Anolis sagrei: one gene and its partner. The protein of the gene in region 1 purifies or fractionates together with the protein of each later gene. This does not show direct contact. Links are inferred from orthologs where the notes say so. Each region holds a gene or a part of one and is shown on either strand. Other genes may lie near its edges.

Region 1 (7,126 bases):
GAATAAACACTATTGAAATTAATGGACCTACTTGGGAATAAGAATGCATGGACAGAATCATAGAGTGAGAAGGAGATCTAAGGGCCATCAGGTCCAAGGCAGGATTGCACTATTAAGATTATTATTTATATGGCACTGTTAATATTCATGGCACTATACAAAACAAATATGGCCTCATAAAGGCATACAACCTAATATACATATATATGATACAGAGAGATCATACTGGAAAGCATTGCATTATCTGGCTAAAGCTAGAAAAGAGAATTGCAGTGCAGGGCTTGTACTTGTTTCCCGCCCAATTGTCAAAAACAAAAGACTGGTATCTAGTCACTTCCATTATACTGCAGATACTTTTTAATTACTTTTAAGGTATTAAACATAAAAATGTGTGTAATTAACTATGCCTCATAGTTTATATTTAACCCCATGAAGAAAATGAAGACATGTTACAAAATTTGCTTTCCATTTTGTAAAGAATTTTTAAAAAAGTAAAATACTGTCTAAAAACTCAAACACAGCTGGACAGTTTGCTGAAAAATTAAAAATTATCTTCATCAAAACCAGGGTCAACAAAATGATGGATTACTGCCACCATTCAAACTGCAGGAAAAGAGATTCCACCTAAATATTAGAAAGTTGTTCAGCAGTGGAATATGGTGCCTGGGGGTGTAGTAGAGTCTCCTTCTCTGGAGGTTTTTAAGCAGAGGCTGGATAGTCATCTTTCAGGGTGCTTTGGTTGTGTGTTCCTTCATGGCAGGGAGTTGATACGGCTGTCCTTTGTGTTTTTTTCAAATGCTATGATTCTCTCTTATTCTAAACCAGAGCTTTCCAAACTGTGTGTTAGTTGCAGTGTAGATGTGTCACACAGAAGTAATGAGAAACCGCAAGTCAATGTGAAATAAGCAGTAAATCAAAAAAATTGAAAATATAAATGAGATACGCTGTGTCCATATACATTTCATCATTAGAATTTATGTAGTGCCCATATCTCTTGTAAGGGTTAGTTTAACCTATGGTTTGCTAGTAAAACTTAATAACTGTGTCACAAAAAAGATGCAAGTCTTAAATGTGACACCAACATTTAATGTTTGGAAAGCTCTAGTCTGAACCGTCCACAATTACCACACACAATTTATTCCCATTCAGAAAGTTACCAAGTTTGCATTTCTACTTTCTAGAGAAAGAAATAAAAAATGAGCAATCCTAAAATGTATATATAAAGCTAGATAGTGTGCTGAAAAACAAAAAAAAATCTTATCTCACTAAGACCACCAGATCAATGAAATGAAGAGTTACGGGCACCATTCTTTGTGACAGCTGAACACATGTTAAACACAGAAACACACAAACAAATTACTCCAAAACAAAGGAGCTGTAGGAAATAGGGGTCTAATGTGCATGATAGACATATAATGGAAGGGTACTTTCTGACAGTACCAGTAACTGCTTTTCAACCATATAATATGCTGTCTCAGAGTTTGGCAGAGTCTCCTTCTTTGGGAAGTTTTAAGCAGAGATTGGATGGCCATCTGTCAGGAGTGCTTTGATTGTATGTTCCTGCATGGCAAAAAGGGGTTGAACTGAGTGGCCCTTGTGGTCTCTTCCAACTCTATGATACTATTCCCTGTGATAGCTGAACACAAGTTACAAAGAGAAGCATACATTCTTTTCGACAGAATTCACTCAAAAAGGAAGGAGCTGTGAGGAAGACAGGGCAAGCATGGTTTCATATAATTATTCTTACAGATATGATGGTTTCAGGAAAAAGACAGCTTTAGTTTGAATTTTAAAAGTAAATTACAGTATAAATGTTCACATTACAAAGTTTGCTTTTTCTTTTTTTAGACAAATAAAAATAATCTGTCTGAAACACATACAAAGCTAGATAATGCGCCTAAAAACAAAACAAAAAATCTTCTCTCATACACATTGGTGTGTATATGGACACACCAAGAAGTAAGGGTCAGTAAGAGTAAGGCTGCTGCCACAATGCCCTGTGACAGCTGAACATGGTGATATACAGAAACACACGCACATATCTACATAAATCATGCAAAAAAGGTGGGCAGGAGCTGTGGGGAGTATTTCCATGCATAGGTTCATATAAACTATTCCTACTGAGGATGTTGATGATAATAACGATGATTATTAGTCACCCACCTCTCATGGCTCAAGAAATACATATATAAGAGACTAGCCATCCCCTGCCATGCATTCCTGTGGCCGAGTCTGTGTATATGCGTCTTGTATGTGTATATATGTGTGCATGTATTTCCGTATAGGTGTATAAATGTGGTTATGCACATGTGCTGTAATGTTTGTTTGTTTGTTTTTGGCTTTTTAAGTTTTTTCCACTGTGTTTTCCAGTGTTTTTAATAAGTGATGGTCACTTGTTGGCCTGATACGTGTATCGTATCCAAATTTGGTGTCAATTCGCCCAATGGTTGAGTTATGTTAATCTCACAAATGAGCATTACATTTTTATTTATATAGATTAAACTTGGAGCATGGCTTAAGCGGCTGAGGGGGGAAAGGAAGGGGCCTGAGGCTGTTAGGAATGGTGGGAGCTGAAGTCCAAAACGCCTGGAGGGAGGGCCGAAGTCTGCCCATGCCTGCCCTAGAGTGCACTGCTTACTACTGAAGGCGGGAGCCTCTCTGGGAGCGAATGACAGGCGCTGGGAGAAAGGAGGGAGAGAGGGAGCCGGCCAGGGGCAGCTCAGCCTCCTTCTGAGGCGCTCAGAGCCACAACTGAGGCCGCCCTACCCGGCCCCGCTTCCCTCCTTCCTTCCCGCCGGGGACTGACTCACCGACAGGACGCTCATGCGGAGCGGCGCCTCCAGCACACACGCCATCTTGGCGCGCCCCACTCGCGGCCCGGCGCTCAACCTCGCGCGAGGGACCCCGGGGTCACGACCGACGCCGCGCGCGACCACATCGCCGGCAAGAGGAGAAGAGGGAGGAGGGGGGAAAAGGAGGGAAGGAAGGCTCTCCTCCGTCTCGAATCAGCGAACGAGGAAAAACAGCTTTCGCCGCTCGCGAGGCAGTGCGCATGCGCCCTCAGCCGCTATTGGTGGGAAGGCGGGGTGATTGCCGGAAGTGGCATGAGAGTGACGCGCCTGCTCTACTTTTAGATCGCGGGGCGTTGCGCCCAACGGTGCTTAGTTGACGTCCCGCCCCAGGCGCATGCGCAGAAGAGGCGGCACCTGTCCAATGCCGTCCTTGGTAGTGAAGGAGGGGAGTGAAGGCAGGCTAGGGCGTATGTGTGGTCCTGTTGCGCCACCTACTGGCGAGCTGGGAAGTAACACTGGAAAAGTCTACTTTTAACTTCCAAGGCCCCTTGCACACACTCAGAGCCCTCTTAACTCATCATTGTTATTACTCAGCATGGTATTGTTTTTCTGATGTTATGTTTTATTGTGATACTAGCTGTCCCCTGCAACGCGTTCCTGTGGTCCAGTCTGTGTATATGTGTTTTGTGTGTGTGTATATGCATATATGTGTGTATACCCACAGACATCAGATCGGCTCCCTCATTAATGGCATTTCGGAAAAAAGTGAAAACCTGGTTATTTGAACAGGCGTTTGAATAGGCAGTGCAATGAATTACAATGAATTATAGGAAATCGGAACAACGGATGACGAGCTTGGATTATGATTTTAGTTATGAGACGCTAGTGAGTTGTTTATTGATGGTTATTGATGGTTATTGATGTTAATTGCTTAGTGTATTATTGCGTTAATTGTTTTTTAAATGGCTGTATGATGTTTGCATTGAATTTTTGCCGCTGCTTGTTGTTAACTGCTCTGAGTCGCCTAATGGCTGAGAAGAGTGGTATACAAATAAAGTAAATAAATAAATAAATATATTTGTGTATATGTTTATATATTGTGTTTGTGGATATATGTGGTTTTGCGCATGCGTTGTAATGTATTTTTTGGGGGGGTTGACTTTTTAAGTTTCTTCTGCTATGTTTTTCAGTGTTTTTATGAGTGATGGTCACTTGTTGGCCTGATAGGTGTATTGTGTCCAAATTTGGTGTCAATTTGTCCAGTGATTTCTGCGTTATGTTAATCCTACAAACAAACATTACATTTTTATTTATATAGATCAGTGGTTCTCAACCTGGGGTCCCCAGATGTTTTTGGCCTACAACTCCCAGAAATCCCAGCCTGTTTACCAGCTGTTAGAATTTCTGGGAGTTGAATGCCAAAAACATCTGGGGACCCCAGGTTGAGAACCACTGATATAGATGTTCTCCCACCCTGGATATCCCACAGACATATAAACCCAATTTTCCCAGTTTCCAACAGACCTCATAAGCTCTGAGGATGCCTGCCATCAATGCAGGTGAACTGTCAGGAGAGATTGCTTCTAGTGAAGGAGACAATGAGTGATTTTTGCAATAACTAAGCTTTGGCAACAAAACATAAGAAAGATATATCTCCCTGCAGGGAAAGAGCAACATGTCAGCAAGAGGGAGGATGTTCTTAAAAGAGAAGAAGTTTTGCAACCCCCCTGAGTGAGGTGACATATATGGTACATGCTTATGCTTGAGTTAAGTGGCTAAAATATTAAGTTGCTAACCTACTCAGCTTACATAGGAAATGGGTTTGTGGTGAAGCGCAAAATCTGCATAAAGAGAACAAATTGTTGTTTTGACAACCAGACATTCAGGCCAGGTGCAAGAAGGCACAGTTCATCAAAAGGTTAATGGGAGGGGGACTGGAAAGAGTAAAAGTACGTTCCATGACCAAAATATCTTTGTTTACCTTGTTGTATAAAAGTTTGAAGAAGCCGAAGAGTGGTACGGCAGTCACTTGCAAGTGTTGGTGCCTGCACGCACTTAACACGGCTGTCCGACTTCCTCGTGGCCATTATGAAAATAAAATGTTGTTTTTGATATTCTCCTGGGACTGCCTTCTTCCTTACGTGCTCCTGTGACCTGGACCTAAGTATTAGACCCGATTTAGGGTCTCTAACACTAGAACATGGCCATATAGCCCAAAAAACCTGCTACAATCCACTGTTCTTATTTTGTTTTGTTTTGATTTTATCTTATTGTGTTATGTTTTAACTTTGTTCTCTTTGAGCTTGTCCCTTTGAAGCTGCCCTGAGTCCTTTTGGGGAGATGGAGGCAGGGTATAAAAATAAAATTATTATTATTATTCCACACAGCTGCATAAAATCCACATTGACTGCATTATTTGACAGTGTGGACCCAGGTGTGGCACCTCAGTAGGGGTTCACCTTGCTCATAGCACTCACCAGGAAAGCAGACGTGGGAGTAAAGAGACTATTGATAAAACACATATAAGAAAGGGCCAATAGGGTAAAAATCCCATTGTTACTATAGAAGGCAAGTCCCATAGGCAATAGGTAAATCCAAAAACAAGAGTTACAACTTGAACATTAGAACAAGGAACAAAACAAGAGCATGAATCAGTACGTAAATCCTTAAAACAAGAAGCAAAACTTGACTAGGAATCTTGTGCCTTGAGCTTACAGAGCATGAACCAGGAACAAAACAGGAGTTTCCCACTCCAGTAGCGATGTTGCTTGATCTGGAATCCTAACAGCTCTCTCTCTCTCTCTCTCTCTCTCTCATTTAAAGGCTGCAAAATATGAATGCATTCCTTTGACCTTGAGAGGCCTGCTTCTGCCTCTCCTTCCCATGGCTTCGCTTGCACCTAAATTTATTCCCCTGCAGGAGCAGCCTGGTATCTCTGTCTAAGCCAACTGCTTCTTCGGATGAGCTCATGTTATCCTTCCTTCCCTGCCTGTCAGCTTCCAAAGTAGATTAATTCCCAGACTCAGAAACAACATCTTGCTCCAAAACCCCCTCCGTTCTCCCAACTGGAGAACCATCTTGCTCCAACACGCCCTCTGTCTGGGCACCACAGAACCATCAGGCCCTACACCCCCAAACCTCTCAAACACCAGGCCCCTTCCACAAAGCTGAATAAAACCCCACATTATCTGCATTGAACTAGAATCTATGGCAGTGTGGACTCAGATAACCCAGGGTCCTTCCACACAGCCATATAATGCAGAATATCAGGGCAGAAAATCCCACAATACCTGCTTTTAACAGAGTTATCTGAGTCCACACTGCTTCCAGTTCAAAGCAGATAATGGGTTTTATTCCACTCTGTGGAAGGGGCCATGAGTCTACACTGCCATATAATCCAGTTCATGAAGATAATCCAGATTTTATATGGCAGTGCAGAAGGGGCCTTATTTTCATTGAGGACCACATCAGCTTGAGGGTTGCCTTCATGCTGTGGAATCCATGGATGGAGAATCCATGGATACAGAGGGCCAACTATATTTTTTTCATATAGTGGTCAGTGCTGCTTAGTTTTTACCCAATTTGGGTCTCCAAGTGTTACTGAACAACAACTCGCATCACTTTTGATTATCTGCTATGAAGACTGGGGATAATGGTAGTTGTAACCCATATCCACAAGCCCTGGATCTCAATTTAAACTCTCCTGACTAAACAGAACAAACTACAGCCTTTCAGATATATCCCAATTCCCATTCACTGTAATCATTATTATTAATAACAATAATAATAATAACTTTATTTGTACCCTGCCTTTATCTCCCCAAAGGAACTCGGGGCAGCTGACATGGGGCCAAGCCCAAGCAATTACAATAAAGCAAAATAAAATACATACAAGACACACAATAACATCAAATAAATGTGCTTATACAATAACATAATAAGCCAATAAAGTAGTAACAATAGCATAATAAAACAGAATATAAAAACAGTACAAGAATTTAAATGAGGGCAAGCCGGGCCAAGTGCGAGAAGTAAAAATTGTAAAACCCGTGGGTGAGATAGATAAAGTGCTGTATTAAATGAGAGACCCGTCTGGGATAAACAATGAGGTTATTCTCAACTGAGGAATGAGACAAAGTGCATCAGAAAGACAATTGACACTGAGACAGGACTTGACATGGGAATTAGTTACTCGTTCTTCAAAAGTGCACCAGAAAAGCCAAGTTTTTAAGCTTTTCCTAAAAGCTGCCAGAGTGGGTGCTTGCCTAATCTCTCTGGGGAGCGAGTTCCAAAGCTGAGGGATCACCACAGAGAAGGCCCTCTCCTTCGTTTCC
Region 2 (7,176 bases), on another chromosome or scaffold:
TTGTTAGCATCCTCTGATGCTCATGTGAGGCCGCGCTGAGTCCCCCTTGTGGGGAGAATATATGAAATAAATAAATAAATAAATATGTGCATATGTGGTTTTGCGCATGTGTTGTAATGTAATTTTTGTTTCTTTGGCTTTTTAAGTCTCTTCTGCTGTGTTTTTCAGTGTTTTTATGGGTGATGGTCACTTGTTGGCCTAATAGGTGTATTGTGTCCAAATTTGGTGTAAATTCGTCCAGTGGTTTTTGAGTTATGTTAAACCCACAAATGAACATTACATTTTTATTTATATACTAGCCGTCCCCTGCCACGCTTTGCTGTGGCCCAGTCTGTGTAAAATGTGTTGTGTGTGTGTATATGTCTGGACATATTTGTGCATATGTTTTTGGTTTTACTGGCACATTAATCTATTAATTTATTGAGTATATGGCTTGGTTTTACTGGCACATTAATCTATTAATTTATTGTTAAATTTTACTGATGTACGTTTTAAAATGATTTTATTGTGAGTTGTAGTTTTTAGGGTATTTATGTTGTTAGCATCCTCTGATGCTCATGTGAGGCCGCGCTGAGTCCCCCTTGTGGGGAGAATATATGAAATAAATAAATAAATAAATATGTGCATATGTGGTTTTGCGCATGTGTTGTAATGTAATTTTTGTTTCTTTGGCTTTTTAAGTCTCTTCTGCTGTGTTTTTCAGTGTTTTTATGGGTGATGGTCACTTGTTGGCCTAATAGGTGTATTGTGTCCAAATTTGGTGTAAATTCGTCCAGTGGTTTTTGAGTTATGTTAAACCCACAAATGAACATTACATTTTTATTTATATACTAGCCGTCCCCTGCCACGCTTTGCTGTGGCCCAGTCTGTGTAAAATGTGTTGTGTGTGTGTATATGTCTGGACATATACGTGTTTTCTGTCTGTATATATGTGTGTCTGCATATATATATGTGGTTTTGCGCATGTGTTGTAATGTATTTTTTGTTTTTTGGCTTTTGTAGTCTCTTTTGCTGTGTTTTTCAGTATTTTTATGAGTGATGGTCACTCGTCGGCCTGATGGGTGTATTGTGTCCAAATTTGGTGTCAATTCGTCTAGTGGTTTTTGAGTTATGTTAATCCCACAAATGAACATTACATTTTTATTTATATAGAAGAAAATATCACCGGGGGGGGGGGGGGGACTCTTTATGGCTCCCTGAGTTTCTACCTAATACTGTATTCACATTCCTTAGAACAAGAACTGTGATGTCTGCAGAACGATAATACCCTGACATGATCTACCTCTGTAAAAAGGCCCTTGGTAGCATTTATTTTACCTGCTAGTGCAATTACACCCTACTCTACCTCTTGGATTCCCTGGTGAAACACTGGTGAAACACTGCTGTTTCACCAGTGTTTTAAATGTTTAATCTATTGAAACCGGCCCGCCCAATGTGATCAATTTCTGTGTGTTTAAATGCTGTGATTTAATATTGTTGACGTGTTTAAAATGGGTTTGTATTGTATTTTATTTTTGCTGTGTTCTGTTGTATATTGTTTTACTATATTGCTGGGCTTGGCCTCATGTAAGCGTTGCTGTGGCCCAGTCTGGTGATCTGGAAAATAAAGTAATGAGAAAGTGTCAGGAGGGCTCTGATTATGTTTTCTTGCCCTGGTGAAGGGAGTTGGACTGGATGGGCTTAAGTATTTTCTGTTGGTGAACTAAAACTCCAAAACATAAGGTCCATGCCCTTCCAGAGGTTTTTTTGTTGTTGTCATGGGGGTTCTGTGTGGGAAGTTTGCCCCAATTCTGTTGTTTGTGAGATTCAGAATGCTCTTTGATTGTAGGTGAACTATAAATCCCAGTAACTACAACTCCCAAATGTCAGTGTCTATATCCCCCAAATTGTGTTCATATTTGGGCATATGGAATATTTGTGCCAAGTTTAGTCCAGATCCATCATTGTTTGAGTCCACAGTGCTCTCTGGATGTAGGTGAACAACAACTCCCAAACTCAAGCTCAATGCGCACCAAACCCTTTTAGCGTTTTCTGTTGGTCATGGGAGTTCTGTGTGCCACGTTTGGTTCAATTCCATCATTGGTGGAGTTCAGAATGCTCTTTGATTGTAGGTGAACTATAAATCCCAGCAACTACAACTCCCAAATGGCAAAATCAAAAAATTTTGAGTGAAGGACATACATTGGGTTGTTAGGTGTATGCTGTCCAAATTTGGTGTCCATTGGCTCACTGGTGTTTGAGTTCTGTTAATCCCACAAACGAACATTACATTTTTATTTATATAGATTATTATTATTATTATTATCATCATCATCATCAGACTTTCATAAAAAGAAAGCAGAGGGTTCAGTGTGAGGGTTCAGCCTCAAACTGGACTGAGGAATTGCCCCGACTCCTGCCCTATTCATATCCTCAAGATCAGCTCGAGAAGTCTGCAGAACTGTCCTGGGCAGATTTTCAGGGGTTGCTGCAGAGGACCTCCAACTGATGCAGCACTGAATTTCATACCGACTGCTAGGAATTGTGGGAGTTGAAGTCCAAAACACCCGGAGGGCCGAAGTTGTCCCATGCCTGCCTTAGAGGGAACCTGCACCCTGCAGCTTCAGTTTGTCCATGCCTTGGCTAGTGGGTGTTGGGACTTCTTTTGTATATGCGATCGTGGCTTCCAAGAAGGAGTTTTTCCTACTAAACTGCCCCGTTTCTAATCCAAACCCCGTGGGCTGTGTACCTGGCGCTGCTTCCCGCAGTCCCCTGGCCGTGATCCTCGCCAGCAACGTCGCTTTCCGCAGAGCCATCACGCCGCCTGGCAGGATAGCTAGGAAACCGGAGAGAGCGCCATCTTGACTCAGGGAAAGGCCTGCTTCCCACTCGCAGCTCGATGTCTCCGTTGGATACAAGCAGTGGCCCAGGGGTTGGACTTCAACTCCCGAAAGTCCTAGACACTGTCGGCAGCGATCAGGAATTCTGGGAGATGGAGTCCACAAACTAGGAAATCTACTGAAGCCGTAGGGGAAAAAAGACTTCGCCCTTTTAAAAAATGGCGCCTACAAATGATGGATGCTTATAACCTTGCTTGCGATTGGCTCCGGGCAACTAGTCCCGCCTCCTTTTCTCTATGATGGTCCTATGAGACAAGGGCATTCCGAAGGGTCGGAATGGAACCTTTCAAATCAGGAGTAGGCAAATCTCGGCCCTGCAGGAGTTTTGGACTTCAACTCCCACAATTCCTAGCAGCTTTAGGCCCCTTCCTTTTCCCCCTCAGCCGCTTAAGCGGCTGAGGGGGAAAAGGAAAGGGCCTGAAGCTGCTAGGAATTGTGGGAGTTGAAGTCCAAAACTCCTGCAGGGCCCCAGGCCTGTTTTAGACAGACAAACGTCAGTGCAGATGGCATCATGGGAGTTGTAGTCTGGAGCGCCATTAGTACCTATTGGCAGATTAGGCTTGTGAAAACAGCGTTTTTTCTAGAACGTTCCAGAACAAACGCAACAGCCACGCCCATATCGCTTGTTGCTATGTAACAGTAGACGGAAGGAGCCCTGCCTTGCCCAACAACCAATGACCATCAGCAGCTCAGAAGCAGTCGGCCTATTACGTTTGTCACAGGCGTTTGGATTGGTTAATATTCTTTTGAGGCTCTTCCAATCGTCGGCATCGCATCTTTGAGTCGCCATCTTGAGAGGCGTGGTACCCAGAAGCCCTTTCGCGCCTGGCTGCGGGCCCCTTCCTTCCTTCCTTCCTCCTTCTCCGCACGTTGCTGTCGGCCGGGCTTCTTTTTGTTCGGGAAGATGGCGGCGCTGGATGGCCCGTTGGCGGTCTTGGGCGAGCGGAGCACCGGCGAGAACGTCCGCACGCAGAACGGTAAGCGGGAAAGAAGGCAGGAAGGCCGCTCTCGCCCTCCCTCTCCTCTCTTCCTGCATTTCGTTGTACACTGGCAGTACAGCTCTGCGTGTTGTATACCTCAACTGAAGGCCCCTCTCTTTTCGCAGGCCTCTCCTGCCAGTTCGAATTTTAAGACCACGTTCAAGGCGTGTTGTGTTTTCACTTTTGCTTCATTTATATTAATATGTTTATATTTGTTTTCATGTGGCCGTATTTTAACTGCGAGGACCCGCCTCGAGCCCTAAGAAGAGACGGCTAATGAATAAACAATAATATTGTTATTCTTACTCATATATTTGGGGTCAACCTTCGTTTCCATGCCTCTAAAATATTAAAACAATTTTTAAAGCATTTAATTTAGGAAACACCATTTTACTATTCCGTTATATATAACGGGACTCAAGTATCCACAACAAACAAGAAATGGAACGTTAGAATTTGAAAGGCAATCCAATCCAAGGTTGTTGTAGGTTTTTTCGGGCTATATGGTCATGTTCTAGAGGCATTCTCTCCTGACGTTTCGCCTGCATCTATGGCAAGCATCCTCAGAGGTAGTGAGGTCTGTTGGAACTAGGAAAATGGGTTTATATATCTGTGGAATGACCAGGGTGGGGCAAAGGACTCTTGTCTGTTGGAACTAGGTGTGAATGTTTCAACTGACCACCTTGATTAGCATATAATGGTCTGACAGTGCCTGGAGCAAACTTTTGTTGAGAGGTGATTAGATGTCCCTGCCTGCTTCCTCTCTGTTGTTGTGCTGTTGCAATTTTAGAGGTTTTTTTTAATACTGGTAGCCAGATTTTGTTCATTTTCATGGTTTCCTCCTTTCTGTTGAAATTGTCCACATGCTTGTGTATTTCAAGGTGGTCAGTTGAAACATTCACAACTAGCTGCAGCAGACAAGAGTTCTTTGTCCCACCCTGGTCATTCCACAGATATATAAACCCTTTTTCCTAGTTCCAACAGACCTCACTACCTCTGAAGATGCTTGCCATAGATGCAGGCGAAACGTCAGGAGAGAATGCCTCTAGAACAGGAGTCCTCAAACTTTTTAAACAGAGGGCCAGGTGAGAGTCCCTCAAACTGTTAGAGGGCTGGATTATAATTTGGGGGAAAAATAACCGAATGAATTCCTATTCACACTGCACATATCTTATTTGTAGTGCACAAACACTTAAAAGGAATACAATAATTACAATGAAGAACAATTTAAAGAAATATAAGTATTTCAATGAGTAGTATAGGCCTGCTTTTGGCTGATGAGATAGGGTTGTTGTTGTTGTTGTTGTTGTGTGCTTTTAAGTCATTTCAGACTTAGGTTGACCTTGAGTGAGGGCTGGGTAAATAAACTTGGAGGTCCGTATCCGGCCCCCGGGCCTTAGTTTGAGGACCCCTGCTCTAGAACATGGCCATGTAGACCGATAAAAACCTACAACAACCCAGTGATTCTGGCCATGAAAGCCTTCGACAATCCAATCCAAACCCATTTCGCCCTGCGGGAAAGCACAATCAAAGCACCCCCGACAGACGACCACCCAGCTTCTGCTTCAAAACTTCTGGAAAATAATAATAGAAAATTTTATTTATACTCCACCACCATCTCCCCAAAGGGGACTTGGGGCAGCTAGCATGAGGCCAAGCCCAGAATTACAGTACAACAAAATAAAATGAAGTACAAACAGCAAATAATAACATCAAAATAAAATACATAAAACAACAGGGAGTGATACAAACATATGCAAAATAACATGATGAAGAAATAACATAAAAGCACGGTGGGCAAGCCAAATGCACAGAGTAGGATTGATAAAACCCTGGGTGAGATAAATAAATGAAAAAGTATGTGTCTGGAAGAGATCAGGAGGGGCGGACAATGGAATTGAGTCTTCATTAAAGACAAGAGAAAGTGTGCCATGAGGAGAGAACTATAGTGGGGAGGGGCATGATACTCATAAGTTGGTAGCTGAATGGCTAGCACAGTGGAGCCCCAATTGCTTCCTTTTATGGCACTTGCAGTTTGGAAGCTTACTTCTTTCAATAAATAGCATTGGTGTACCAAGTATAACTATGTTGTTAATTTATGAGTATCCCGTACATTATCAATGAGTTACAAAGCAGTTTGAAGCATGGTATATCTGTAGACTTTATTCTTTCAAGAAATAAAATTAAAAATTGTTAAAAATATAAGTTCTGAACTCAGATTCTAAATATATAATTTTCAAATATTACATTTTCTTGACAATCTATTTTTATATAACAGTATTATTTCAAAGTTTATCAAAATAATACATCTTACCAAAATGCAATTTCATTTGTGGATGGTTGAACTGGTGGCAAATATTAACCACATACATTTGATTGTATGTTATTTTACACTGAACACACTGGAGTAATACTGTCTAAGGTCTGTAAGGCATTGATCACAATCATGAATGACCATAAACTGTCATTGGTGGAAATATTTTTTATTGTTTGTTTTTACTCAACAAGTTAAGTTAAAGTGGCAGTAACCCTTAGTCAGGAAAACGCCAGAATCAGTCCTTTTTGTGAAAGTTACACTTCTTACACTTTTTATATACAGTACATTGAATTAATAATGGCATATGTAAAAGTTTGAGAGAGGAAAAAACCCTCACAGATTAGTTAATGTAAATGCCATGTAAATTTGTTGAATTGTTAAATGCAGTTATCACTCCCAAATAAAAAACTAGAGCCATGAAGCCTTCTGTTTGTTGTTGGTCTATCATTCACTGCATTTATCATCTTTTGCTTTGCTGCTTGGGAACTGAAAAGTGAAAACTCCAGTTCCCCGTTTCTGCCTTAAATTCAGTTGTAAGACTATTTAGAATGTGCTCAGTGATTCAGATTGATACTTCCCATTGTACTGCCTCTTATTTCTACAATAAAATAAGAGTCTTTGCTTATGGGATAAAGAAACACTAGCCATTGTCTGAAGGAGAAGATTGATATTGTCTTTCTCCTATATGAAATGGCTAAACATGGCATCACAAAGCAAATGATAGATTTTATTGTCCAGACAAAATGATGTTGTTCCCTGTTGTATTATTTGTAGAAATCATGTCAAAGATCCACTATATAAGGAACAGTGCAACATATGCATGTTTATACAAATAAATGGCAATAAATTTAAGATCTACTTTTAGGATCCATTCAATGATGAAGTGGGAATAGATTGTGTGAATAAATAATGTCACTGGTCAGTTTTCATGACTGAGCAGGGATTTGAACTCTGCTCCACCAGTGACACTCAAATACATCATGCTGGTTCTCCTGTGTGC

Evidence for each region. The genes of interacting proteins can lie anywhere in the genome.
Region 2: the proteins of ARMC8 (region 1) and MRPL18 purify together in Homo sapiens (affinity purification with mass spectrometry; 3 studies listed by BioGRID and IntAct, with this or other methods). This does not show direct contact. The link is inferred for Anolis sagrei from reciprocal best matches to the Homo sapiens genes ARMC8 and MRPL18.

Annotation. Positions count from the first base shown.
Region 1 is NC_090023.1:222,117,520-222,124,645, forward strand, and holds the start of ARMC8 (armadillo repeat-containing protein 8), read right to left. Parts: upstream 3,069-7,126; 5' UTR 2,856-3,068; coding exon 2,811-2,855; intron 1-2,810. UniProt on the Homo sapiens protein: Component of the CTLH E3 ubiquitin-protein ligase complex that selectively accepts ubiquitin from UBE2H and mediates ubiquitination and subsequent proteasomal degradation of the transcription factor HBP1.
Region 2 is NC_090021.1:68,231,278-68,238,453, forward strand, and holds the start of MRPL18 (large ribosomal subunit protein uL18m), read right to left. Parts: upstream 3,018-7,176; 5' UTR 2,796-3,017; coding exon 2,729-2,795; intron 1-2,728. Other genes in the region: TCP1 (T-complex protein 1 subunit alpha), read left to right, coding at 3,784-3,856. UniProt on the Homo sapiens protein: Together with thiosulfate sulfurtransferase (TST), acts as a mitochondrial import factor for the cytosolic 5S rRNA.